Linked DNA regions of Callithrix jacchus. The main gene of each other region encodes a partner of the protein of the gene in region 5 in a complex. Links are inferred from orthologs where the notes say so. Each region holds a gene or a part of one and is shown on either strand. Other genes may lie near its edges.

Region 1 (3,585 bases), on a different chromosome or scaffold from region 5:
CTCAGCTCTGAGCCCAGCCCAGCCCAGCCCAACACCCAAATGGAAGCAGGTACCTGAGGTATATGCCACCAAGAACTGACTGGCCCAAGCTGGGGTCAGACCTCATGCTTCAAAACCCCAAGGCAGGACGGCCCCTGCCACAGCTCACCTGGTCACACTTCTTGTGATAGGCATCCTTCTCCTTCTGGGACAGCAGCTTCCACTGCTGGCTGCACAGCACCATGCGCTCTGTGCTGGGCACGTCCTTCATGTTGGCCATGAGCTCTGCGCAGTACAGCGAGTAGCTGTTCCTATCGGAGCCGTGGGGGGAGAGGTGCAGCCCGTGAGTGAGCAGGGCGGCAGGCCTCCTCGCCCACAGAGTCCGACCCAACTCCCCAGCTACCCACTCGCCCACCCACCCCAGGGCAGCGCTCACGGAGGTGGCTTGGTGGGTCGCCCGTCAAACTTGTCCTTGAGCTGGCGTTCGGCCTTGGTAAGGGTGGACTTGGTGATACCCTCTTCACTGATATTCAGCTCGGGGTGCTTCTGGATATAGTCTCTCATGATCTCCTGCAGAGCCAGGTGGGGGGACGGAGGGCAACGTGGTGTGGAGTTAGCTGGGGCAGGGGTAGGGGGAGAGCCGCTGGGGAGGGCAGGCAGGGAGCAAAGCTGGGGGTGGCTGTGTGTCAGCAGTGTCACACGAGACGTGGTGCCCTGCCCTGCCCTAGCCTGAGATCTCATGGGGCGGGGGGTGGGGAAGGTAGGGGCAGAGGCAAGGGGCCCAGAAGGCCCCTCCCTCAAAAGAGGAATGGGGAGTGACACCTTCCGCAGAGTGCGGTGGCCACGGAGTCGAAGGGCAGAGGCTCGTGAAGAGCCGGACGGGGAGGAGCGCAGCGGAAGCCTAACCTCGTACTCCTTCCGCTGCTCCAGGGCCTTATGAATCCATTTCAGCCTCTTTTTGTCCGAGAGCTGAGACCACTGCTTCCCCAGGGAGTCCTTCACCTCCTTCGTAGTGGCCTGCAAACCAAAAGCCGTCAGACACGCACAAGCAGCCAGGAGTGGGGGGGGGGGGGAAGGGGGCACAGAGGCCCCCGCCCCCTCAGGCCATGGGAGGTCACATCAGTGTCCCCCACAGGCCAGGAGGGGAAGGTGGAGAGGCGGGGATCCCGCCTGGGTACAAGGGGACTGGCTCACACACGCACGCACGCACGCACACGCTCGCACGCCAGCTGGCCCAGGCCCTGTCCATGCAGCCCACCCTTGGGGAGGGGCCTCCTCTCCTGCTCCCCTGCACCGTGCCCAGCCGACCTGGCGCGGCTCCCCCCTGGCCACCACCGTGCATCCTCCACCCCCAACCCTTGGCCGGACACTCACATCTGGCCGCACTTTGAGATACACCTTCTTCTCGTGGGTGTACCACAGCTGCTGGGGGGTTTTGGGCTTCTCTGGGATGTCCGATTTCTTGGCATTCTGGATTAGGTCAGGGTGATCCTCCCTAGCCAGGACATGGGGAGCAAGGATCAGCAGGGGATGCTGCCAGGGCAGACCCAAGCTAGCTGCCCCACCCACCAAGCCTCCTTGGCCTTTCAGCTGTGGCTCAGTGGGACGGTGGCTGCCTGACTGTCCCTGCCCCTCTGAGCATGACACACTAGGGCTCACATGTGACCCATCCTTCTTCCATGCCTCAGAGACGGCAAACTCCAGGCTCTGGCCAGGGTTAGCCTATTCAGCTGTACCCAGTGCCCGTAGCCCTCCTCTGGGCTCCACTGCCTTACCTGAATCGGGCCAGGTTTCGCTCGAACTCCTGTTTCTCCCTCTGGAAGTCCTGAATATATTTCATCTGAGGGGAGGAGGGGATGGGGTCACCCAGGACCCAAGGATATCTCACCCTGAGCTAAGAAAGCCACCCAGACCCCTCCTTGTGCGCTCTCTGCGGCCTCCTATGCTGTGGTGCAGGGGTGGAGGCTGGCACCCTGCCCACCTCCCCGCGGGACTCATCACAGAGGAGACCTGCTGGCTTCTACTACAGATGGTGGGAGCTGCAGGGGTCACCCAGACATTAAATCCTACATCCTATTCTCTCCTTGCAAGGGAGAGTCAGAGAAGGGGGCCGTGGCATTACCCAGTCATGCAGTACGCAGTGGCAGTGCTGGCGCTCCCCCACCCATTTCTCCACCACCACAAAATACCCAGTGGAGTCAGGTGCAGGCCCTGCTCCCATCACTCTCTTATTGTCTGTGGCAGCTGACATTAGCCTGTACCCCTGGAGGTGGCCTCTACATAGGACCAGGGCTGGGCTGAGTCCTGTTTCCAAAGTATGAGAGGAGACTACTGTGTGGAGGGAAACCCAGAGTTCTTACAATACAAGCCACGGCCAGGAGCCCTGCGCCTTCCTGTCCAGTTCTGACACCATCACCTTCCTCCTTTTCTCCAGGATCCCAGCTGTCTGGATCCTCCAACCCTCCCTCCCTCCCTCAGCCCACTCATTCTCTCCCACCACTTGACTTCCCTTCATCACCCCCTTTTCAGCCTCACCCCCTTCCCACCCCCACCTCCCTCCCTCCCTGCATCCTTGCCCACCTCTCCATGGCCTCCCTCTTGTAATCCGTCTTTTTTTATTCCATATCTACCTCCTTTCTTGGCTCCCACATAATGTCTATCTCTTCTTTTGCCTTCATAGGCTCACAAGAGTGGCACTGGAAGGTGCCAGGAGCTCATGGCAATTAAGCCCAACCCCTGCCTCTTAGAGAAGCACCAGGCATAGAGAGGCAGCACCTTTCCCTCCAGTTCTCACAGAAAACCAGAAGCAGAGCTCAGCCTCCTCTTCCCCAAGCTCAGTCCTCCTCACAAAATAGTTTCAGAGCTGGAGGGCACCACACAGACCTGGCTCACCTCACATAAAGACCAGGCCCAGAGAAGCGGAGTGACTTACCAAAGACCCCATACACAGCGAGTTCAGAGCCAGGAGAACAGGCCCAAGTCTTGTGTCCCCCAGGCCAGCACCTCGTCCACTCTACCGGTTTCTTCTGGCTTTCCCTGGCTCTCAGACTCTTGGCCTCTCCCTCCCATCCCATGAGAGTATTTGGGTATGTGTGGTCAACTGTCCAACATCCTCATCAAAAGGGCCAAGAACAGTTCCAGCACTCCATACCCCTGCTCTGCTTGGGCAGAGGTTGCAGACAGCTGGCTTCTTTTTGGGTACAGCACCATGCGCATGTGAATCCGCAGCGAGGGTATGCCAACCAGGAAAGAGGGCTACTCACAGCGTGGTGGCTGCCAGCGTCATCTTTTGAGAACTGGCTGTGTATGACTTTGTTTCCTTGCCAAGCAGATGTGCTTCTTGTTTTTCCTGCTGTCATTCCCATCTATCCCTGGCTGTCTCCTCATCCAATGTCTCTTCCTTGGGTCCTCTCTCCCCATCCCATGTTTCTCGTGTCCTATCTGCAGGCTCCTCCAGTGTTTTGCTGCCTATCTCTAGGAGGGAACCCCTGAGCTGTGTGTGTGACTGCTTCTAGCCCTGCCTGGGAGGCCTGGGCAACCCCCTGCTCAGGGTTAATGCTTTGATGGTCTGAGACAGTGCCCGACCTCTGCAAGGAAGAGCATGAG
Region 2 (3,585 bases), on a different chromosome or scaffold from region 5:
GGTGACATATTAAGATTCCTTTACTTCCTAAAATAATCTTTGAGAACACATAATGTCAGGAGCCTAACGGGATATAGATAAAATGCTAAACCACTCTTCAGGATTTATGAAGATACTTTAAAACGAGGAAATTAGTGGCACAACAAGGAACACTGCTACCTAAACAATAACAGGAATAAAACACGATCAAACAACTGACAAACAGCTGAGTCAGAGCACTGTGTAAGAAATAATTGTGACTACTAGTCAGTGTTTTATAATGACTGAGAGTCTCCATTCTGTATTGAGATAACATACAGGTAAATATAGTACAAAGTTTTTCTTTAGCTCTTTTTTCTAAAGTGTCTTCATGACATTCAAAGCTTTCTGAAAAAACTAAGTAACTCTGTTACTTGTCATAAAACTGACATACACTTACCACTCTAAATTGTCATCCAGTAGAAAGAGCAGTTTCAGGACCACCACAATGACAGCTACAGCTTGTACATCATACTTAACAGTTTTTGCCACTTTAGCTATAGGATCAAATGTCAAAAAATCTGCTTCTCCCATTCCAGTCATTTTTACCACGTGGCAAGTTAAGCTATGCATTTCATCTGTTGAAGAACAAAACGGTAAAATGTAAATTAAATTCTTTGGCTAACTAGACCATTCCAGTGTATATATCCATGAAATAACCTTTATCTTAAAACATGATACTATGCTAGAACTCAGAGACACACATTTTGTGAATAAAACACCAAAACGTGGCATCTATAGCAAAAAATGAATGGTAGAATCTTAAAACAGTGTATCATTCCCTCTTCTGACTTCCTAAAACATCTACTATTCATAGGACACATCCTGGCACCAGGCAGACAGACACATACCAGTTTTTTCTATAGCACTGTGTGCTCACCCAAAACTAACTCCCTTATAAGACCAAAAGCTTCTCTAGGAATGTACGTGCACTGGCATCCTGGCTAGCACACTGTAAGCCCTCAACATGTGTTTAACTAGATATACTGCTTTCCTAAAGACATTATATGTTCAGCATAGACTATTCCTATTACTCAAGACTGAATAATGTGGGACTTGGAACCAGAAAACCTAGGACCTGTATTTAAGCTTTCCAATTATTAGCTTTGTGACTCTTGGATTACAGTCACTTAGCCTCAGTTTCTTCACTTGTAAAATGGGTTATAAAGAGAATAAGCTGAGATTATCCTCAAGTGAACAGATTTTGAAAACTCTTTAAGTTACTAAACAAATTTTTCTACTTCCCAATCCAAGTATCTAAGATGTGACCACACGCTACTCTAATCAATTTCAAGTATGACAGCCATTATTTATAAGAGATAATGAAGTTGCATGGAATTGAACTGAATCTCCTACATACATTCAGTCACTAGGTCCTGTTAATTCCATTCTCTCGATGTGGCATATACTACCATGGTTAAGAATAGACTACGGAACCAAACTGCCTGGACTAGAGTCCCCGCTCCATCACTGACGAGCTCTGTGACCTGGGATATGCTATATAAACTTTCTGTGCCTCAGTTTCTAAAACATCTATCTAAAATAGGATTAGGAACAGTACCTGCCTCATAGCTATTGGAAGACTGCATTAATGAATATACTAGAGTACTTGGCTCAGTGCTGACTGCTTCCAATCCATCCCCTTTCTTCCCATCCACTGTTGCTGCTTAGGTCACACTCAAACTGCTCTCCCTTTCTCTAGTCTTACTCCCCTGTGGGCCAATCATCTATTTCCCTGCTCTCATGAACTCATTAACACTTTTAGCTCCCAGCCTAATCTCCAGAGTTCCCCCAAACAAGCCATATTCTAATTTCCCCTTTGCCTAGAAAGCCAGTTTCTTCCCCCATTCCTCATCTCAGGCTTTGCCTGACTGAAGCTCACTCATTTTACAGAACTTGGTTATATCAGTGACTTCCTCTAAGAACAGACATAGGAGACCAAGCCTCCTTTGACTGGCTCTCTTCTGAGTGCTAAAGAAGGTCTCCTGGCATTTACCCGTCTACTGCACACATGAAGGGCTTATTGTTTTGTTTCTCTCTTTTTTTTTTTTTGAGACAGAGTCTTGCTCTATGCTGGAGTGCAATGGTGTGACCTCGGCTCACCGCAACTTCCACCTCCCAGGTTCAAGCGGTTCTCCTGCCTCAGTCCTCCCGAGTAGCTGGAATTACAGGCACGTACCACCAAGCCCAGCTAATTTTTGTAGTTTCAGTAAAGACGAGGTTTCACCATGTTGGCCAGGATGGTCTCAATCTCCTGGCCTCATGATCCTCCCGCCTCAGCCTTCCAAAGTGCTGGGATTACAGGTGTGAGCTGCCGCACCCGGCCTATGTTTCCCTCTGAAACTTGAGGGTGACTCAATCTTGCTTTGTCTTCCTAACTGCTACAACCTACACATAATTGGTACTAATTACATGTTTATGATAAAGAATAAATTAAATATAAAATTAATGTCTTTCTTGAAACATTTAAGTAAAAAATTTTCACTGAGTAAAAATGCTTTGTAAACCTACAAATAAAACAATGATAATTCAAAATATGGCATCAAAGTATTTTCATATCTACCAGATTCTGATAGCTTTGCTAAAGTTTTCACTTGGTTTTATTCTTCCACCAAACATTTATCGAGCAATTAATGTGTTCTGGGCACTCAAGGTACAGACACAGTCCTTTTCTTCAAGTTGCTAAATGTTTAGTAACATGTAAGTAATGAGAATGCAATATGGTACAGACTATGACAAAGATGGGACGGAGCTTTCAGGAACTGCAAACAGCCCAACAAGGCTTTATTGTTGAATGTGAAGAGTCTGGCAGGGCCAGACAGTGCAGGTCTTTGTGAGGCAGAGAATCTGCACTATTATACTGTTAAGATAATTTTAATTCACAGGTTTTACCTGAATTTACTCCTGGGCTTCATTCAGATGCAGAAAGATTAGGAGACAGAAAATTAACAATTCAACAAGCATTTACTGAGTGTCTACTAGGTACAAGACATTGTGCATTAATCTAATGGAGGAAACTAGAGAAATCAGTGATAGGACTCCTGCACTAAAACACATACAATTCAAACATGGAAAAAATTAATTTTAAAATACATTCACTAAAATTTTAACCATTATCTATATTGGGCTGTAGAAGCTATAGTCTCTTCTCAGATAATTTAAAAATCAAAACCATATTAGTACTGTTATTCTAAAAAAGGACATTTCTTGAAATATTTATCTTCTTTTAAAATTAGCATCTTGGCTGGGCGCAGTGGCTCATGCCTATAATCCCAGCACTTTAGGAGGCTGAGGTGGGCAGATCACCTGAGGTCAGGAGTTCAAGACCACCCTGGCCAACATGACAAAATCCTGTTTCTATTACAGATATAAAAATTAGCTGGGCATGGTGGCAGGTGCCTGTAATCCCAGCTACTGGGGAGGCTGAGGCAGAAGAATCACTTGAATCCGGGAGGTGGAGGTTGCAGTGAGCTAAGATCGTGCCGCTGCACTCCAGCCTGGGTGACTAAGCCTCTTGTCTTGGAAAAAAAAAAAAAAAAAAAAAAAAAAATTAAGATGTTGAACTGC
Region 3 (3,585 bases), on a different chromosome or scaffold from region 5:
GGATGGCAGCCCTGTGTGTGGGAACTATGTGACCCCAGCCCATCACGCTCCCTCCAATCACCACCAAGGTGGGCTGGGGTCACCTGCTTGCCAACCCGGGCTTCAACATCAAGATCTGACAAATACCTGTATAAGCAAAGCAGGAGACCAGCCAGAGTCCCTGTGAGCTCCCCTGCATGCAACAGTTCAAGGGGCACACACCGAAAGAGCAACAAGGGCTGTTTCTAGTCATCAATTCCATGTTTTCCAACATTTTCCAAAAAATCCCATGGATGATCCAGGAAGGACTACATGTCTGTGTCTACAAATGTTGTCCTGTGGGAGTGCTGACACCTGGAGCCTCCTCACCCACTTACTCACCTGGCTGGATCTGGAGCCAAATTCCCCAGCCACCACCTCCTCCTCAGCATCCAGGTCAGTGGCTGCCAGGACTTTCTGTAAGAGCTGCTGCTGCTCTTCTTTTGTCGAAAATGCCAAGTCTTCCTCCTCCATGCCGGCAAGCTTCGTGATCACCTGCGAAGCCCAAGCCGGCAGACATGCTCCCTTCTGCTCTCTCTCCCCTGGCCCTACTCTGCCTTCTCCTGGGTCTGCCTGCTCTTGGTCACTTCCCTCCCCAGTCCCAGCCACACTGTGGTGGCCAACAATGGAGAACTCCTCCCTAGCATTCCAGAGACCAGTGTCAGCAGCCGCCTTTAATAGGAAGCTTGACTAATGATCTCAAGACCAGAGAGATGCAGGAATTTCAGAGAAACCTGCTCCCAGCATCTAAATGATCATGGATGGAAGATTAAAGCAAAGAATCTCAGTGACTTGAAAAGGCTTCTTTGGGTAGCTTTCACATCTTGGAGCAGCCAAAAGAAGGGACAAGAGACTGGAAGGCATAGGCTGTGGCCCTCTGAGAAGGTTCCTGGCATCTGCTGTGCTCAGCAACTGGGGCTTCCAGCAGGAATGAGCATAAAAAAAACGACAGGATATTAAGAAGATATTTACAGAGCTTCTCTGAAACAGAACAGCACGGTGGAGACTAGGTTTTCATGTCTACGGGGATAACTTACTATGAGGCTTCCCTATCTCTGCAGAAAGCGTGGGTTGATTATGTAAAGGGAACTCTCCCTCCAAATTCTCATAATGTTAACTAAAGGAAAATTCCTACAAGTAAGGATCTGAGTTCTGGTGGCCAGGTATCCAGAGTACAGACGACGTGCACATCTGCCCAGGGCCTAACCACTCCAGGTCATGACTCTGGGAACTCCAACCACTCCTCCTCAACAGGCAGCACTGAGGACACAGCTCCAACCAACACAAACTACTACAGCATGGGATTGTGCCTTTTTGTCAAGGTCACCTTTCAAAGAATTCAGAGTAGCTCTTTCTGATTTACCCTCAGAGCTCAGCAGGAATCAGGAGGTAGGAATGCTATTACCAGCAGGGATTTTTATGGATGGATAAAAAGGTCACAATGCAAATCCTCCAAAAACTGGGCTCAAAACCCAAGCATCTTGTCCTCTAGGCCAGCATGAGAGGTCTGAAAAATGCCACTACCTGTAACTAAAAGAGGGGAGGCCAGACAACTCTGTCTTCCTAAGGCCAACAATGGAAACTCTCAGCAATGCATAAAGAGACACATTGAAAATACACCTCAAAAGCAGCCTACAGTCTTTTGCAATCAAGAACCTGGGAGTCTGATGTTCTAGGGATGTCCTTTTAGTGGACCACAGGGGGAATTTAATTCCCCTGTTTCTAGAACCCTCCATCTAGCTACAAAATATAAAGCCCTTCTGGACACCATAATACTGACAGAACCGTAGTATCTGTGTAACAGAAAAGAAAGCAAATGCCTCAGCCAATGAAAGCTAGCCAAAGCTCTACAATTCTCAATTATTAAAATACCTGATTAGTAGTACAGGGATGGCTCTTATGTCTGGGAGCCAAAGTGAGGCACACTAAGGCCTGGAGCTTACCAGCTGATGAAAGGAAGAGCTCTCCTAGCCACCTGGAAAGGGGTCCCGGAGAAAGCAACCCTGCAGGGCTCACACTCACACAGTGCTGGCCATAGTGCCCTAGCACCTCAGTCCTGCCAGGACAGCACACTTCCCACAGCTGCCCTCAGCAATTCATGCAGAGACAAAAGGAGTTTGAGGCAAGGCCCCTAATCCCCTAATGCTTAGTGCCTGCCTGCTGACAGTGGCCCTCACTTCTCCTGGAGGCCAGCATACCAAGAAGGCCTTGGTCCTAGTCTAACCCGAGGCCAAATGGATGCATACCTTGAAGCTATAACCTTGATCTACCAAGAATCTCTGCCGCTTGGTTGAGTAAGCCATTTCCTGTGTGTCCTGGGATACCAGTGAGTAGAAAAAGGCATTGTACTCCTCTGCAACCATCCCTGCAGGGAAAAGTGAGAAAAGGCAAGAAAGAAGACATTAGCCATTTAAACGCCAAGAGCTAAGGGTCCCAGGCTCAAAAGCAAGCACTGCAGTGGGAAAGCCCTGCACTCGGGGTTACCACCTGAACCCGGCATGGGATTGCATCAAATTAAGAAGGCTTTTATGCTTCCAAGGACACCACCAAGAAAGTGAAGACAATCCACAGAATAAAAGTATTTGAAAAGCATATGTCTGATAGGGTATTGGTATCTAGGTTATATAAAGAGCTACTGAAACTCAACAAGACAAGTTAATTATAAAATGGACAAAGAATATGAACAGATTATATCTCCAAAGACAATATAAAAATAGCCAATGAGCACATGAAAAGATGCTCCACACCATTAATCACCAGGGAATGCAACTCAAAACCACAATGAGATACCACCTCACCACCACGAGGATGGCTAGCATCAAAAAGGCAGATAACTAAAATTGTTGTCACGGTTGTGAAAAACTAGAACCCTCATGCACTGCTGCTGAGAACAAAGATGATGTGGCTGATTTGGAAAACAGTCTCGCCGTTCATCAGAATGTTAAACACAATGTTATAACCACACGACCTGGCAATTCCACTTCCAGGCATAAATCCAAGAGAAATGAAACTATATCCACACAAAATTTTGTACATGAATTTCATAGCAGAATTCTTCTAAGAGCCAAAAAGTGAAAACAGCCCAAATGTCCATCAACAGATGTATGGACAAATAAAATGTGGTATGTCCATGGAATCGAATATTATTTGGCAATAAAAGAGAATGAAGTACTGACAGATGCCACAATATAGATAATCTTTTTGAAAACTTTATGCTGCCGGGTGTGGTGGCTCACACCTTTAATCCCAGCACTTTGGGAGGCCAGAGGTGGGCGTGGATCACTCAAGGTCAGGAGTTTGAGACCATCCTGGCCAACATGGTGAAACCCTGTCTTCACTAAAAATACGAAAATAAGCCAGGCATGGTGGCTCACACCTGTAATCCCAGCTACTCAGGAGCTGAGGCAAGGGAATCCCTTGAAGCTGCGATGTGGTGTTTGCAGTGAGCCAAGATCACACCACTGCACTCCAGCCTAGGAGGTAGAGCAAGACTCTGTCTCAAAAAAAAAAAAAAAAAAAGCAAGCAAAGAAAACATTAAGCTAGGTGAAAAGAAACCAGTCACAGAA
Region 4 (4,385 bases), on a different chromosome or scaffold from region 5:
TCAAAACATTATAATTACTTTGCTCGAGTTCTTTTTCTGAGTGAGTCAGCAAATCCTGACAATTTTACTCAAAGTTTCCCTAACTCCTAAGCTTCATTATCATGTACCTAGCATCCTGTGATTTTTTTTTTTTTTTTTTTGAGACAGAATCTCTCTGTCGCCCAAGCTACAGTGCAGTGGCACGATCTTGGTTCACTGCAACCTTCACCTCCACGGTTCAAGCGATTTTTCTGCCTCAGCCTCCCGAGTAGCTAGGACCACAGGCATGTGCCATTATGTCTGGCTAATTTTTGTATTTTTAGTAGAGACAAGGTTTCACCATATCGGCCAGGCTGGTCTCAAACTCCTGACCTCGTGATCTGCCCACCTCAGCCTCCCAAAGTGCTGGGATTATAGGCGTGAGCCACCAGGCCCAGCCCAATCCTGTGATAATTTTCTAATTGTGACTCTGGTTGCCCTCCTCTCTAATTCGTACTGCACACTGCCAAACATTTTTTTTCTGAATACCTGGCGTCGCTACCTCACTCAAGTCCTCCAAAAAGTTTGTTACTTCCTTGTAAACTAAAGTTAGAACATTTCCACTTCATGACATGACAGTCTGAGTATATGGGCCCAACCTTTATTTACACAGATCTTCTGCTCTAGGGTCTGTTTTCCACAACATGCCAAAACATGCCATGTTTTCCACGATTACGTATTTTGAGTCTTGCATTTCTGTTCCACTCCCCATGGTATACACCATGTCTACCCATCCAAATCATGTAAGGCAAACATTGAGCATTTACCATGCTCCTAGGACAACGGCACCATCTCCAGTCACACTATGTTTTCAAGCTTTTTCCTTCAGTCTGCAAGGATCATCTCTTCCTTAGTGACTCTCCTCCAATTAACATGCTGCTGGAGCGAGAAATGCCTATTTAATCCATTCTTTTTTTTTTTTGAGACGGAGCTTCGCTCTTGTTACCCAGGCTGGAGTGCAATGGTGCGATCTCGGCTCACCGCAACCTCCACCTCCTAGGTTCAGGCAATTCTCCTGCCTCAGCCTCCTGAGTAGCTGAGATTACAGGCACGCGCTACCATGCCCAGCTAATTTTTTGATTTTTTTTTTTAGTAGAGACGGGGTTTCACCATGTTGACCAGGATGGTCTCGATCTCTTGACCTCGTGATCCACCCGCCTCGGCCTCCCAAACTGCTGGGATTACAGGCTTGAGCCACCGTGCCCGGCCTATTTAATCCATTCTTTTAAGTCATACTGAGCTTTGAAATAAGTCAAATGAGTGCCACAGACTAAGGCAAGGGTTGAAGAGTGAGAGGTCAGGCATTTATTCATCACCTGTTTGTTGAATAATTACCATGTGCCAAACACTATTCTGGGTAAACAGGCAAAGATCCTGTTCTCACGGAATGCAATTTTGTGTTGGAAAGACGAAGGTAACCAACTTTTCACATATTAACACAAAATCACTCTACACCGTGAAAAGTGCTTTGAGGAATGTAACATGGATATGTCATGTTAGCAAATGATCATAAGGGAGCTCTTTTAGGAAGACCGACAAGGAAGACCGCTTAGATATAATTGACGAGAACTCAGCCATGTGATAAAATAAGCGAAAGCATTAAGAAACCAAAAGTCCCTACATTTTAAGTTTCAATGAGTTTCAGGATCACATGTCGAATATGCCTAAGTATTATGAGCCTCCCCTAGGAGACAACACTCCCCAACATGAAACAGTGAAGCACGAGTAGTGCCCACTGTGAGCTAACCAAAATCGCTGTCTTTACGTAAAACACTTACTGATGGTCAGTTTCACGAGACCCAATTGTGCTCTAAAAGAATATTCCAGGCCGGGCGCGGCGGCTCACGCCTATAATCCCAGCACTTTGGGAGGCCGAGGCGGGTGGATCACGAGGTCAAGAGATCGAGACCATCCTGGTCAACATGGTGAAACCCCGTCTCTACTAAAAATACAAAAAATTAGCTGGGCACGGTGGCGCGTGCCTGTAATTCCAGCTACTCAGGAGGCTGAGGCAGGAGAATTGTTTGAACCCAGGAGGCGGAGGTTGCGGTGAGCCGAGATCGCGCCATTGCACGCCAGCCTGGGTAACAAGAGTGAAACTCTGTCTCAAAAAAAAAAAAAAAAAAAAAAAAAAAAACAAAGAATATCCCAGTCCAATGACGTCTCCTGCGAGTTGAGAGCTGTCTCGCCTCTTTTCGGAGCTCCATTAAGGACCATCAACCTAACACAACACTTTAAGGGTACGCATGGACCGGTTCTACTTTCTCGCCGAGAAAAATGTACAGAAAACAGACATTCAACTACCCCACACAGGCTCATGGCTAAAAGCAGTTTCACCAAGAGAAGACACAAGGAATTCTTCGGTCCTAGATAAAATGCACCGTCCAAACCGGGGACATCAGGACGAGGCTCCAGGAAAGCCGTGAGAAGAAGAGACGAGTCCAGGTGGATTCAGACTCGTAACTGGCGCGCCTAAACGGATTTCCTCATCTGCAAACATACAGCAATGCCTCCTGCCTCTCAAAGTACGTGAAGCTCTAACGAGACAGCCGTAAAAGAACTTTAAGAGGCGCACGCAGCCGGATGGGTTCAAGTTACTTAAACTATACTCGTGTTGGGAGGAGCGCGCAGCGAACGTTACCTTGACAAGCCACACTCCCGTGTTCTGTTTGGCGCCGGTCAGATCGAGTTCCCCGCGCTCGGCCATGGGTCTGCCGCTGGTGGAGGCGCGCGGGCTGTAGCAGCGACCCCAGGAGCCGGAGGGCTGCGGAGCGAACGTCCGGAGCAAAGCGCTAAGCCGCGCTGAGAGGTGAAGAGCCGGCGTTTCTCACCGGCCCGGACACCGGAAACCCGCGGAAAGGGGAACACGCCGCCGGGAGCTGGGATTGCGCCTGCGTATTACTACGTCAGTACGGCGCCCTGTTGCGGACAAACTTCCTGTGTCGGCAATTTCTCGGGTGGGCGTGGCTGTCAGCGATGTCTATCAGAGGGATTGAAACTTGGTTGGGATGAGCCAAAACGTTAGCAATGTATTTAAAGACAAGGTCAGCATAACTGAAGAAAAAGATTATCAGAATGAAAAAATGGGGTTCAAAGAGACAAGAGCTGTCAGAACATGTCCAGTCCTAGCCAGAGAGAGGAGAGAGAGAGAGAGACAGTATTTGAAGGGCAGGATCTGGGTAGCAAATGGGCGTCCTTGGCCAACGTCATTAGCACAGGTGGGCACTGGGATCAGACTGGGTAGCCCTGGTACTGAACACATGCCGTTTCTAGACCTGAAAAGAAAGCGGTGTTTCAGCTCGGAGGCTGCCTGAGCTCTTCTGATTAAGCGAGCAGAGCACCTCAGACTCCAAAACCCGGAGGTCTGTGAAGAAATGAACAAGTAAGAGACAAACTTGGTCGTTTCCTCCCCTGCGTAAACGATGTTCTCTTTCTCTTCTTGCCTCTGGAATAAAATTCAACCCTTCTGCTTCAACTGGGCCCTCCACCACCACCCATCACTCCACCACCCACCCAACCACACCAAACCCAGCAGACTTTCCTGAACACGTCAGAATCTTCCTCGGTCATTTCAGAGCCTCTGCACACTGGATTCCCTTCCCTCAGATGCCCTGTTTTACCCCTACCCTCATTCCCACCCCTGTCCTCTGGTTGCCAAACTCCTACTTGTAGTTCAAGACCAACGGAAATGTCACTTCCTGTGACACCTTTTATCAACTCCCCCGGAAGAAATTAGTTTTTCTTCACATCACGCTGTGATACTTAGCACTCTGCACTGTAATATGTATGTTTACATGTCTGCCTTTGCTTTCCAGACTATGAACTGGTCCTAGGCAAAAAGAGCCTTATTGAGGTATAATTGACAAATAAAAAATAGTGCTTTATTCATTTTATCTCCACAATGTCTAGTACAGTGTTTGATACATCGTCAGATTTCAGTAGGCTTTGGTTGAAAGAACATTCGCTGAAGAGAAACAATAAGGTATTGTTAAGAATGGCAAGTAATTTTTTGAGTCATACATCAGAGCCATGAACAAAATTGAGGAAATTTTACGTATGTTCAGCATAGGGCCAGGAAAAGCTGTCAGAACTCTACAATTAGCTAGCAAAACTAATAGGAAAGATGGGAGAGACTGGGAGTGTGTTGAAAATGAAAGTTTCGGCCATGTGTGGTGGCTCATGCCTGTATTCCAAGCACTTTGGGAGGCCGAGGCGGGTGGATCACGAGGTCAGGAGTTCGAGACCAGCCTGGTCAACATAGCAAGACCCCCATCTCTAAAAACAAGAAAAAGAAAAAAAATTTAAGTAGAAAATGAAGATTTCTTCTTGTGCAACAACTTGGGAAAGGGCCTAAAACATATAAAGGG
Region 5 (4,326 bases):
ATCGCGCCATTGCGCTCCAGCCTGAGTAACAAGAGCGAAACGCCATCTCAAAAAAAAAAGAAAAAAAAAAAAAAAAAAAAAAGAGCCTCACCAGGTCCACTAAGCAGACAGGCTCCATCCTCCACACTGATTCTAGGTGCTGGGCTATGCACATAAGGCTTTCTCAGTCCCCCAACCTCGGAGGGCTTTAGAGCCACAATGGGGAGGCAGACAGGTGGGGGAGACTCCACAGAGAAAGTGCTGACACCAAGTGTCCCAGGGGACCCGGGAAAAGAGTCCCCCGCACAATCTTGAGGGACAAAGAGCAGACGCTGACAGGGCGGGGAATGGGCTGGGGCGGGTTAGGGCGGCCAGGGCCGCAGCTCACAAGGAGGCTGCTCTGACCTGGATAGGGCCTCCTAGGCCAGGCCAAGAAGCTGGAAGGGCACCCAGTGGCCAGGATGGGGGAGCTGAGGGACACAAGGTCATGGGGGGCTGGGGTAAGTGGAGAGGCCCACGTGACAATCCTGGTTGGAGGAAATGGTCAGGGAAGAGAGAAGGGGACTGATAAGAGGGAAACTAGAAAGATGCTGCATGAGAGAGATCAGACGTCAACAGCATCACCCCAAACAAGGAAGGGGAGGGGAGCCTTTCCCCCAGACTGGGCAGAGGGACAGGAGCTGGGCAGGAGGCGGATGCTGGCAGCTGGCTCCTCAGCTGGTGCTGCTCACCTGGAAAGAACACAAACATCTGGTCGGTGGGGTCATCGTTGTGTGCCACCAGCACGGTGAGGTCTGTGCGCCGCGGCCGCCCCTCGCTCGGCTTGTCCCCAAACTGGGCTTTGAACTCCTCCAGTGTCTGGTCAAGCTCGTCCTGGGTCACTAAGTAGCCACGGTCATGGCACAGCTGCAGAAAGAAAGAGCCAGGTGGCTGGGTGTGGTGGCTCCCGCCTGTAATCCAAGCACTTTGGAGACCAAGGCGGGCGGATGACCTGAGGTCGGGAGTTCAAGACCAGCATGGTGAAACCCCTTTATTTAAAAAAAAAAAAAAGAGCGAGCCAGCTGACCTCAGGGCAGATGGAGGAAGGGGGCCAGATCTCATGACCCAGAAGTCAGACCTGCAGCTGCTGCAGAGGACAGAAGGCTGAACACTCATTCAGCCTTGGGACAGCCACCCTACCCCCACAGCCACACCACAGGATGGGACCAGTATGATCCTGAGAGGCTTGCAGGGCCCAGCCTCACAGGAACCTGGCAGGGCACAAACCTGGCAACCACACCCAGCCCTCCAAACCACTTTTCAGAGAGACCCTAAAGACAGGGAGGGAAGCCGGGCTCGAAGGCTCAGAACTGTGATCTGAGTGCTAGGGAGGCTGAGGCAGGAAGACTGCTTAAGGCCAGGAATTTGAGGATGCAGCCGGCTATGACTGCAGCACTGCACTGCAGCCTGGAAGGCAGAGAAAAACCCTTGTCTTTTTTTTAGGGGGGGTAAAAAAAAGGGCCGGAGGCGGTGGCTCACGCCTATAATCCCAGCACTTTGGGAGGCCGAGGCGGGTGGATCACGAGGTCAAGAGATCGAGACCATCCTGGTCAACATGGTGAAATCCCGTCTCTACTAAAAATACAAAAAATTAGCTGGGCATGGTGGCGCGCGCCTGTAATCCCAGCTACTCGGGAGGCTGAGGCAGGAGAATTGCTTGAACCCAGGAGGCGGAGGTTGCGGTGAGCCGAGATCGCGCCATTGCACTCCAGCCTGGGTGACAAGAGCGAAACTCCGTCTTAAAAAAAAAAAAAGAGAAAAAGAAAAAAAGACAGGGGGCCGGGTGCTGTGGCTCAGGCCTGTAATCCCAGCACTTTGGGGGGCCAGGCGGTCAGATCATCTGACGTCGGGAGTTGCAGACCAGCCTGGCCAACATGGTGAAACCCCGCCTCTATTCAAAATACAAAAAAATTCAGCCGGGGGTGGTGACAGGTGCCTGCAATCCCAGCTACTCGGGACGCTGAGGCAGGAGAATCGCTTGAACCCGGGACGCGGAGGCTGCAGTGAGCCGACAGCGCGCCCCTGCACTCCGGCCTGGATACGAGAGCAAAACACCGTCTCAAAAAAAAAAAAAAAAAGACAAGGACGGAAACTGAACTACAGGCTCCCAGCGAGGCCCGGAGGAGGGAGAATCCGGCTGCGTGGGCTTCGCTGAGGACAAGGGCAATGGGTGGGGAAGGACGACAAAGCGAAAGCTCTGGAACGGCCCCAAAGGCTGGAGCCGGACTCCGAACCGCGCGGCTTCCAAACCCGACTCAGCCCCGCGGCCTCCGTCTGCCCCAGGCCCCGAGGCACGGCTTCCGGGCTCCACGTCCCCATCTCCCGCCCCAGCTCGGTCGCTGCTGCCCAACCACCAACTCCGCCAACCTCGGATGCGGAGACCCCCGGGGGTCCGGGACGCGGGGACAAAAGGCGCCGCGGAACCACAGAGCGGGGCAGGGTCTGGGGGCGCCCCTTCCTCCTCCTCCTGCCGCCACGCGCGCCGCACCAGGCCCGAGCCGCCCGACCACCCCTAAGCTCCCGCACCCAAACGTCCCGAAATCCCCCTCCCCGCTGCCGGCTCAGGTCGGGCCCAGCGCCTGAGAACCCCGGCGGCCTCGAGGCCTCCCGTCACCGCCCGCCCCTTCATCGCTGCTGCTCCGACGGGACTACGCCAAGAGGCCGAGCTCGACCCCACCTCGTGCCCCTGCACCCACCTCTTGCGCCCCCGGCCCCACCCCACGGTTCTAAACAGCTGCCCGGCGCGCGGCTGACCTGCATGATGGTCTTGCGGATTTTCCAGAGCCGGTACGTCTCCTCCTCGTCGTCCATGGCGGTCGCCACTCGCACCCCCTACGCATGCGCTAGTGACGTCTCGCGCGGACTGCGCCTGCGCCGAACGCCAGTCAGGTCCCCTTCGCTTTACCCCGCCCGGAGCTGGGCTGCCTTCCGCGAAGGCCTGACTGCAGCAACATCTGGGACCGGCAGCGCCAAGGGCAACCCGAGCCTTACGAGCGCGACAGTTGGCTGCACGAGACTCTCGCTCCGCAGTTCTCCCGTGTCTTTGGCCGCTCGGCCTCTCGGGAGTTGTAGTTTCCGTTCAACTCCCACGTTGGGGCAGCGGTTTAGAATCCCACGGAGCGGGGCCGGAGCGTGGGTGGGGAAACTGAGGCCTAGATGGGGCCAAGGGGCAGCTCAGCTCCTAGGGGCGGTCAGCCTAGTGAGAACTGTAAATATTTGTACACCAAAGTCTACAGGGTTCTCTTTGTTGTATCCAGCCCATGTCCCCTTTAGTGCCAGTGAGCTTCAGTTTCCCTACCTGTGCGATGGCAGTGAAGTGTCCCTCGTTTAGACGGATAACTGGGAGGCTCGGGTAGAGCTGGGCATCTCTCTAGAGGAGCCCTCCTGCAGTCCACGAAGTCAAAACTGCGTTGCTCAAAGAGCCTTTGTCTCAGTGCTGATTTTTCTCTGTGGCACCGACCATCTATTTCCAACAGTGGGAAGTAGAAAGGTTCCTTTTTACAGTTTCCTTTCCTGTTAAAGAATAAATCAGGCCGGCCGCGGTGGCTCACGCCTGTCATCCCAGCACTCTGGGAGGCCGAGGAGGGTGGATCACGAGGTCAAGGGATCGAGACCGTCCTGGCCAACATGGTGAAACCCCGTCTCTACTAAAAATACAAAAAAATTAGCTGGGCATGGTGGTGCGTGCCTGTAATCCCAGCTACTCGGGAGGCTGAGGCAGGAGAATTGCCTGAACCCACGGGACGGAGGTTGCGGTGAGCCGAGATCGCGCCATTGCACTCCAGCCTGGGTAACAAGAGCGGAACTCCGTCTCAAAAAAAAAAAAGAATAAATCATAAGTGTGTTAATAACTGTTAAGCCCTGTCCTATGCAGGTGTTAGATATGCCATACTTCTAGGCAATTAGTACATCCTGTGTCCTTGTACTTTAACCAAGATATCTGTGCTGGACGTGCTCACAGGCATGTCCCAGCTCTCCATTGCTTTTACCTGTTTAGAAAAGTTTTAAGTTGTCAGCTGTAGGGGGGAACCCTGCAAGCACTGAGGCAAGGGTCTGAAGCCTCAGCATGTTCTCATATAAACACAGAATTAGAAAAGAATTAGAGATATTGTAACGTAGTTATTCCTATATATAACCGTAAAATAATCACATACATATAATTCATATGTAATCACAGACATATAATCATGTGATCTTTGATCTTACTGATAAGTCTCAGGTCAAGAAGTATGGGACTAGGCCGGGCGAGGTGGCTGAAGCCTGTAATCCCAGCACTTTGGGAGGCCGAGGCGGGTGGATCACGAGGTC
Region 6 (3,585 bases), on a different chromosome or scaffold from region 5:
TGACTAGAAATGAGGCCAGAGCCAAGCCAATTGGCACATTTTTCCTCAAAAACAACAGGACCTCCCTTCATCCCCGTCCTGACTCATGGAGTTTAGAGAGATCCTGAGGAACAAATAAGCCCAGATGGAAGGTAAAAAAGCCTTGTGGCTGGCAGGCAGCCATCCTACCTGATGACACAGTTGCCTCGGTTGGATGCAAAGATGACGATGGGGGCAATAGAAGACTCCAGGGCGCGGTGCAGGTAGGTGAAGCACTCAATGTCCAGCATGTGGACCTCATCAACAAACAGCACACCCGGGACCAACTCAGCAATGCCCTGGTCGATGTACTTGTTCACCACCTTATTAATCTCCCCTCGAAGTTTGTCTAGGAGATGCAAGGATGGGCGGGGGCAAGGTCAGCACCAGGCTGGGGGAGACTATCACCTTTTCTCTTCTCCCCAACCTAAATTCAATCCAAACCCACGTTGGCAGCCTAGTTTTTCTACTAGCTATTTGACCCCAGGCAGGGTGTGTCCCCACTCCAGGCTTCAGTGTCATCATCTGAACACAGTGATAATCACACCTAAAGGTCACAGAATTGGCAGCCTCCCCCAAAAGATGTGTTTGGTTAAATGTGAAAAGGCTGCATGGGTATTCTGCATGGGAATCCCTTCATGGCACACACTCACTGACTACCATGCCTTATCACCTCCCACACACCCAATCTAGCTCTGTCTGATCTGGGAGACATTGGAGTTTCGGAGCCCTGGGTGAAATGCGTTTTCACATGCAAATTTTCCTGTTCTATACTCAGTAAATGACCCTTTCTTTTGGTCCCACATAACAATGCTTAGTTTAATTAACTTTCAATCAAGTGCCTGGACTAAGGAAGTGGGTGCTTTTAGAATCCTGAGCAGAAACCTTGGAGGAATGAAAGGCTCTGAAGAAAGGTCCAATCTCAGAGCTCCTAGAGGGATGAGTCTCTCAAAAGTTACACAACCCAGCTAAGGTCTCAGTACTTATTTTCCAAACCAGCTCCTGTGTTATGATCAGGAAGGAGCAGCTCACAAACAGAGAACTGGAAGATCTGAGGCAGCGTCTTCCAACAGAGGCACGAGGCAGGAACTGTCCAAAGGGGATGCACACCGAAAACCATATGAAAACAAAGAAACTGCTCCTGACAAACCCGAACAGAAAGGTTTCAGATTGCTGCCCTGGCTAAAATTTTAACGATAATATTTGCTTTAATATTTAATTACCAGCTTAAGATGATGGAACTGTAGGTAGAATTAGAAAAATAAAAATAAAACAGGAAAGCTAGGAAGAGCAGCAGGGTAAAATAAAGGTTCACATGGGAGCAGCAGCAGTGTCCCTCATGGAGCTCTGGGAAGTGCCCACAAACTGGGCAGGGTAGTGTGTGGAGCTGATCTGTGGAGCTGCCCTGCACTCTACTGGGGAGGAGGGTGACAGCACCAAGGCTCCAGAGCCTGTGCTCCAGCAGAGCAAGGCAACACAAATCCACATTTCTGGGGCCTCATAGGGGCCAAAAACTGTGACTGCAGAGGGGCAGAGAGCACACACGTGCTGTATGGCTGCCTAGATGACACCAGAGACTTAGGCTAGAGTCAAGCTCTGAACTATGAGGAAGAAGGAACTGTTCTGAGGCATTTCCTTAGGGTGGATGCGCTCACAGAGCCTCAAGAGCAACTCAGAACACAGGGCCCTCCACCCTGCCCCTTGCTCACAGGCCATGCTGGTTGTCCTACCTGTGATTTCTGTCTTCTTTGGCTTCATTAACTGGCCCATCATGGACAGAATATCTTGTCCTCCCTGCATAAAAGAAGACTTTAGAGTCAGAGTCAGTGCTGCTTTCTAAGGCAGCTACAGAAGCCTCACCCCCTGCATCCCACTCATCAAGTCAACATGGGGTTCTGACGTATGGAGAACCCTCCTCAAAGCCTGAGGAGCTTCTAAACACAGAGGAATTTTTAGAGGTTCCCCAGGACCTGTAAGAATCAAACAAAATCCTTTCGTGGGAAGTATAAGCTCTGTGGTGCCTGCCCAGCCTCCTTCTCCAGCTTTATCTTTTTCCAATCCTTTGTTCCTTGATTAACCATACAAGACCATGAGCCTGCCCTGGATACCCCAAAGCTCTTTTATAACCCAATGCTTTTGCAAAATCTATTCCATCTTCCAGGAATACCATTCTCCTTCCTAGGAAGTTCCCAGTCATTAAAGTTCAAGTCAAATGCCCTCTGGGGGGCATCAACCCTAACCGGCCTCATGACTTCCTCCCAATGTTCCCATGCCTTTGGGGACACACAGACTATAAGAGTAAGTATAAACATACCATGATTATATTGCTGTGCCTCCTTTCACTAGATTTGGCCACAGGCTCGCATCAGCCTAGCCCTTACTTAACCTGGAGCTGTTGAGACTATGGGTCTGTCCCTGTGGAATGGCTGACTCCATAGGAGGTTCACCACTCACCTGCATCCTCCTGCAGGCTCCTAACAGTGCAGTCAGCAAGAGGAAGAGGTCAGTGTTTAGTCATTTGTTCAGCACTTAGTGATCACCTCTTGGTTACCAGGCCCTGGGACACAGAGGTGCTCACTAAATGCTGAATAGCTAAAGGCAGCAAATGTTTCCTGTCTGGTTCTCAAAACAGCCTTGCCCCATAGGAGGAAACTCAAAATCAGAACCCTAAATCACAGAAAACTCAAGAGACCCAGAGTGACAAATCAGCCATGCAGTCAGTGATGAAGCAACATGTTTCCTGACTTCTGACTCCCAGCCCAGCACTCTTCTCAGTTAAGGGCTCCCAGAAGGTCAGTTTGGGGATGGCCATTTCACCAACCAAGGGGACCTATTGGTCCAAGATGAGTCTTGACCAAAGCTCCAAGGAACAAAACACTCACGGATCAAATTTCAAATCAGAAAACAAACTATTCCCCAATAGTGAAGAGGTGCGTCTTTTAGGATGAAGATGAAACCAAACTGGAAGACCATCAGCAGGAAATAGTTGGTGTCTTGTTTCTTTTAATCACACATTTCCTAGAAGTGTCATAAAGTGAAAATATCCTTTCCTACATTTTATTAGTCACAGTATAAGTATCTATCTGCCTGAGAAGCAGACAACAGTACCAGCTCAAAGCTTAAAAAAAACTGTGGCTTTTGCTAAGCAGGGGGAAAGAAAGAGCTTTGTCAGGCTTTCTGAAATCCTGTAGAGGGCTCATAGAACTCTCCTGCCCTCCTGCCATTAACACCCAGAGAATCCCAGGCATGAGCCCACTGCTGGAGCAAAGCCGCAGAGGAAGCTGGCTAGCTCAGGGCCAGAGGCTTGGCTGGGATAAGAAACAATACACATGAAATCATCTGTGACTAGAGCATTTGAATGGGAACAAAGGAGTCCCTCGTAGCTCATGTCGATGTTAATTGCTGAACATTACAGATAGAAAAGGACCGTCTGCCTCAAGATAGGCAGCAAGACTCTGACAATTCATTCCCAGACCTCTATGCACATACAAAAGGGCTAGTGTGCCACGTCACACAAGCATCGAAGGAGTACCTGGGGCCGCGCATTAGCCACATCCAAGTCATGCA
Region 7 (4,292 bases), on a different chromosome or scaffold from region 5:
TGCACCCCAGCCTGGGTGATGGAGTGAGACCATGTCTCAAATAAACAAAATAAAATAGGAAGATGATTATCCTGAATTACCTGAGTGGGGCCACTGTAATCACATGAGTCCTTATGTGGGAAAGAGGGAGACAGAGAGTCAAAACCAGAGAGAGAGCCTCATGAGAAGGATTCGACTGGTACTGCTGACTTTGAAGATGGAAAAGGGTCATGAGCCAAGGAATGGAGGCAGCTTCCAGAAGCCAGAAAAGGCAAGACAGTAGACTCTTCCTCAGAGCCTCCCAAGGGGAACACAGCCCTGCCGACATTTTTAGTCCAGGTAAAAACTCCCAGATAAAAATGATATAGGCCAGGCATGGTGGCTCACGCCTGTAATCCCAAGACTTTGGGAGGCCAAGGCGGGTGGATCACTTGAGGTCAGGAGTTCGAGACCAGCCTGCACAACATGGTGAAATCCCATCTCTACTAAAAATACAAAAAGTAGCCAGGCATGGTGGCATGCACCTGTAATCCCAGCTACTCAGGAGGCTGACGCAGGAGAATTGCTGGAACCCGGGAGGCAGAGGTTGCAGTGAGCTGAGATCACGCCACTGCACTCCAGCCTCCATCTCAAAAAGAAAAAGAAAAAAACTATAGATGACAGTTGGAGAATTTGGAAATTGATTCTTTAAAGCAACTGTTCTCCAAGTGTGGGCCTTGGACCAGCACCATCTGGGAACTTGCTAGAAATGCAGACGCTTGGCCTGCATCCCAGATCTACTGAATCAACAGCTCAGGAGGCAGAGGAAGGCTGAAGCAAACTTGCCACAAGCCCTCCAGGTGGAGCTGAGGCTCACTCAAGTTTGAGAAGTACTACGTTAGGATAACGGTGAGGTTTATGACTGGATACTGGTTCTTAAAGCATGACCCCCAGATAAGCAGTCTCAGCATCACCTGGGAACTTGGGCAAATTATCAGACCCCACCCCAGACTCACCCAACTGGAGACCGTGTTTTAATGAGCCCCCCAGGTGCTTCTGCTGATGCACACTTGCCAGAGTTTGAGAACCACTGCCTAAAGCTCTCCCTGCCTGACCAACCCTTGCAAAGCCTCACTCTCAGGAGGCATTTGTACTCTTATTTATAAAGCCTGCTTCTTAGGATTTAAGAACAATCACTAAGATACCTACTTATTAATACAGTGCCTGGCTTATAGTAGGTGCTCCGTAACAGTTCGTTAAATGATTAATACAATACAACACCGAGGAAATTGGTGAAGCAGATGTGGGATTCGAACCCACAATCACCCAGCCTCCACTACTGAGACTCCAGGGAGCTTTATTTTCGCCGCCCACGCGCCGCCTGAACGCCGGGTCCGCCAAGACCCAATGACGCCTGACTGGGAGGCGGGACTTCCTGCCTTCCCAGGAGGCACTTCCGGTTCAAACGGTAAAGCCGTGAGTGGCCGCGGAGGGGCTGAGTGCCGGCTCTGTGGTTCTGTCTGAGGTTTCCCGCGTGGTGTCGGGGTCGGGCGAGCTTCACGCCGCGGCCCATTTTCTTGAAAATCACGATCGGACCCGGGCCACGTAAGTGCATCTGCCTCCTCCGCGCGGACTGGGCGTGTTCGGGAGGAGTGCACCCGCAGATGGAGGAGGAGAGAAATCCCCGAATCCCCCGTCCCCGGCCTGGCGTCAGTGCGGAGTCCTGAAGCCTCGGAAGTCTAAAGGGTCCTGGGGAGCCTGCAGCGAGGGCGGGAAGCCGGCTAGGGAAGTCGAGGCTGCCTTGTGGGAGGGCTTTTGCGGGGTCGTGCGCTCCACCTGCGTAGGATCGTTTCAGGCTGTGCGGTTCCGAGGGAAAATCCTTTTGTTTCTGTTTTATTTTTGAGACAGAGTCTTGCTCAGTCACCCAGGCTGGAGTCCTGTGGCATGATCTTGGCTCACTGCAACCAGTGCTTCCCGGATTCGAGCGATTCTCGTTCTCCAGCCATCCGAGTAGCTGCGATTACAGGTGTGCGCCACCACGCCCGGCAGATTTTGTTATTTTTAATAGAGACAGGATCTCACTATATTGGCCGGACTATATTGGCTCAAATTCCTGGCCTCAGGTGATCCGCCCGCCTTGGCCTTCCTAAGTGCTGGGATTGCTGCAGGAGCCACGGCACCTGGCCAAAGGGAAAAGGTTTTTGTTTAGTGAGATCCTAATGCCAGCCTTCGCGTTTCGGTGCATGGGAGAGCAGTGGTTCAGAGCTCTGCCTCTGAATCAGGTGCGAATCAAGCCTTGGCTGTGGCACCTTAAGAGCTGTTGTACTGAAGTTCTTGCAGAGCCTTCGTTTCTTGAATTCCGTAACAGGGACGGCGATAGAAGAGGAAAACGTTTAGCAAGTGCCTGACAGGTAGATGCCTGGCGCTTGGTCAGTGAGCTCTGCTGTTATTTCTGCCCGTTATTTTTGCTAATTAAAAAGGAGGGATAACATGGCCACTCAAACTTCCAGAGGACTGTGGAGTTTTGTTGTGTTTTTTGGTTTTGTGTTGTTTTTTTTTTCAGATGGAGTCTTGTTCTGTTGCCAGGCTGAAGTGCAGTGGTGCCATCTCGGCTCACTGCAACCTCCGCCTCCCGGGTTCAAGCGATTCTTCTTTCTCAGCCTCACAAGTAGCTGGGATTACAGGCATGCACCACCCTACTAGCTGATTTTCTATTTTTAGTAGGGATGGGGTTTCTCCGTGTTGGTCAGGCTGGTCTCAAACTCCTGACCTCAGGTAATCCACTCACCCGCCTCAGCCTCTGAAAGTGCTGGGATTACCAGTGTGAGCCACCGCGCCCGGCCCCTTGTGATATAAATTTATTTTTATTCAACCCATAGTGCATTTTCTGTGGGGTCACTATGCTTGACAGTAGGAAGACGATGATAGATGCAGTCCCTGGCTGTGGAGTAACTCGAGCTTTATCTTGGGAGTGTGTATAGTCTAAATGTGTGATGACGGGGCTTAGGAGCTGTGTGAGAGGCTGCCCCCACCAGCAGTCTGGTCCATCACCGCTCTCCACCTCGCTCACCCTGCGGCTGCCTCATTGTGTGAGAGGCTGCCCCACCAGCAGTCTGGTCCATCACCGCTCTCCACCCCGCTCTCCACCTCATTGTGTCTCATACACGTCACTGCTCCAGGATTTTCACACTTGCTGATGGTTCTGCCTGGAACCCTCTCCCCAGCTGTGTACATAGCTCTGTCCCTCACTAAGTTCAGGCTGTGCTCAATGCCACCTTCTCAACAAGGCTTTTCCTGGCTGGCTTTGCTGAAACAACACCCTGGGCCTGTTAGCAGATCCAGCTCTCCTGGGTGGGTGGCTAGCTTTAATATAGTTCCCATTACTGCTTGGCGTTGGGCTACATACTCATTCGTTTTTTATTATCTGCTTCCTCAAAGAACATATGCTGCTCATAGTGCCCTTTTCACTCCTCAGGAACCGTGGCACCCCTCACCAGCTTCCAGTCTCTCGAGGTGGCCAGTGTGCTGCTTGGTCCTTGTTCCCAAGATGGACTTTCCCAGCTCCCTCCGCCCCACATTGTTTATGACCGGCCCCCTTGGTCTGAACGATGTCTCTGACCTGTCCATGTGCAGCTGGCAGAACGTGCTGACTCAGCCAGAGGCCCAGCCCCAGAACTTGAAGGTAAGGATGGAGGCAGGGGCCCTGGCAGCTCCAGGGTGCACCCCTTCCCTGGTTCCCCCATCTAACATTCACCCCAGTTGACAAGGCCACAGAGTGGGGTGGCATTCTCACGAGTCTGCTGAGACACAGGCTGTGCCACCTTCTTGGGCTACCCTGCCATCCCTAGACGGATGCCCCCACTGTGCCAGATTCCTTATGAGGTGCTGGGAATGCTGTGTCAGTCAGCCAGCTGACCTCCTGCTCCTGGCACAGAGAGCTAAGTTGAGCGAGAATAAACAAGTGAACCTCATTCAGCGGATAATGTGTTTACAAAATGTGATCAGAGCTTGGAGTGAAACCGGAAGAATGCTGAAACAGCGTGGTGGGATTGGGAGAGGGAAGGATAGACCTGCCAGGGTTTCTGGTGCCTCTGGAGGGACACTGGCTCTTTGCTTGGAATCCTCAGCCACCTGGTTCCCCTTGGAGATACCCTGTCTAGAAATGGAGCCTGGCAGAGGCAAGCGGGTGAACAAATAAAAAGAGAGAGTGGAGCAGGGATTTGGGGGATGGGAGTCAGGGATGGCCTCCTTACGAGGGAGGGTCTCACCTCAAATTGGGGCTTCTCTGGGAGTCTGGTTTGCTACCTTTTTTGTCCCCTGAGTGTTTGAGCTGA

The links.
Region 1: POLR2E (region 5) and UBTF share a complex: the UniProt entries of both Homo sapiens proteins name them as parts of the pol I pre-initiation complex. The link is inferred for Callithrix jacchus from reciprocal best matches to the Homo sapiens genes POLR2E and UBTF.
Region 2: POLR2E (region 5) and TAF1B share a complex: the UniProt entries of both Homo sapiens proteins name them as parts of the pol I pre-initiation complex. The link is inferred for Callithrix jacchus from reciprocal best matches to the Homo sapiens genes POLR2E and TAF1B.
Region 3: POLR2E (region 5) and ERCC3 share a complex: the UniProt entries of both Homo sapiens proteins name them as parts of the TBP-based Pol II pre-initiation complex. The link is inferred for Callithrix jacchus from reciprocal best matches to the Homo sapiens genes POLR2E and ERCC3.
Region 4: POLR2E (region 5) and GTF2F2 share a complex: the UniProt entries of both Homo sapiens proteins name them as parts of the TBP-based Pol II pre-initiation complex. The link is inferred for Callithrix jacchus from reciprocal best matches to the Homo sapiens genes POLR2E and GTF2F2.
Region 6: POLR2E (region 5) and RUVBL1 share a complex: the UniProt entries of both Homo sapiens proteins name them as parts of the PAQosome complex. The link is inferred for Callithrix jacchus from reciprocal best matches to the Homo sapiens genes POLR2E and RUVBL1.
Region 7: POLR2E (region 5) and TAF1C share a complex: the UniProt entries of both Homo sapiens proteins name them as parts of the pol I pre-initiation complex. The link is inferred for Callithrix jacchus from reciprocal best matches to the Homo sapiens genes POLR2E and TAF1C.

The regions. Positions count from the first base shown.
Region 1 is NC_133506.1:71,063,764-71,067,348, forward strand, and holds part of UBTF (nucleolar transcription factor 1), read right to left. Parts: intron 1,820-3,585; coding exon 1,755-1,819; intron 1,475-1,754; coding exon 1,354-1,474; intron 997-1,353; coding exon 886-996; intron 550-885; coding exon 416-549; intron 291-415; coding exon 149-290; intron 1-148. UniProt on the Homo sapiens protein: Recognizes the ribosomal RNA gene promoter and activates transcription mediated by RNA polymerase I (Pol I) through cooperative interactions with the transcription factor SL1/TIF-IB complex.
Region 2 is NC_133515.1:105,072,559-105,076,143, forward strand, and holds part of TAF1B (TATA box-binding protein-associated factor RNA polymerase I subunit B), read right to left. Parts: intron 597-3,585; coding exon 419-596; intron 1-418. UniProt on the Homo sapiens protein: Component of RNA polymerase I core factor complex that acts as a GTF2B/TFIIB-like factor and plays a key role in multiple steps during transcription initiation such as pre-initiation complex (PIC) assembly and postpolymerase recruitment events in polymerase I (Pol I) transcription.
Region 3 is NC_133507.1:37,211,287-37,214,871, reverse strand, and holds part of ERCC3 (general transcription and DNA repair factor IIH helicase/translocase subunit XPB), read right to left. Parts: intron 2,384-3,585; coding exon 2,265-2,383; intron 514-2,264; coding exon 361-513; intron 1-360. UniProt on the Homo sapiens protein: ATP-dependent 3'-5' DNA helicase/translocase. Binds dsDNA rather than ssDNA, unzipping it in a translocase rather than classical helicase activity. Component of the general transcription and DNA repair factor IIH (TFIIH) core complex.
Region 4 is NC_133506.1:164,327,275-164,331,659, reverse strand, and holds the start of GTF2F2 (general transcription factor IIF subunit 2), read right to left. Parts: upstream 2,871-4,385; 5' UTR 2,726-2,870; coding exon 2,660-2,725; intron 1-2,659. UniProt on the Homo sapiens protein: TFIIF is a general transcription initiation factor that binds to RNA polymerase II and helps to recruit it to the initiation complex in collaboration with TFIIB.
Region 5 is NC_133523.1:1,037,382-1,041,707, forward strand, and holds the start of POLR2E (DNA-directed RNA polymerases I, II, and III subunit RPABC1), read right to left. Parts: upstream 2,855-4,326; 5' UTR 2,830-2,854; coding exon 2,773-2,829; intron 886-2,772; coding exon 711-885; intron 1-710. Other genes in the region: uncharacterized protein LOC144580922, read right to left, coding at 2,920-3,170, 3,317-3,481. UniProt on the Homo sapiens protein: DNA-dependent RNA polymerase catalyzes the transcription of DNA into RNA using the four ribonucleoside triphosphates as substrates.
Region 6 is NC_133516.1:74,053,401-74,056,985, reverse strand, and holds part of RUVBL1 (ruvB-like 1), read right to left. Parts: coding exon 3,551-3,585; intron 1,813-3,550; coding exon 1,749-1,812; intron 368-1,748; coding exon 169-367; intron 1-168. UniProt on the Homo sapiens protein: Possesses single-stranded DNA-stimulated ATPase and ATP-dependent DNA helicase (3' to 5') activity; hexamerization is thought to be critical for ATP hydrolysis and adjacent subunits in the ring-like structure contribute to the ATPase activity.
Region 7 is NC_133521.1:41,830,403-41,834,694, reverse strand, and holds the start of TAF1C (TATA box-binding protein-associated factor RNA polymerase I subunit C), read left to right. Parts: upstream 1-1,416; 5' UTR 1,417-1,563; intron 1,564-1,866; 5' UTR 1,867-1,984; intron 1,985-2,326; 5' UTR 2,327-2,369; intron 2,370-3,433; 5' UTR 3,434-3,505; coding exon 3,506-3,640; intron 3,641-4,292. UniProt on the Homo sapiens protein: Component of the transcription factor SL1/TIF-IB complex, which is involved in the assembly of the PIC (pre-initiation complex) during RNA polymerase I-dependent transcription.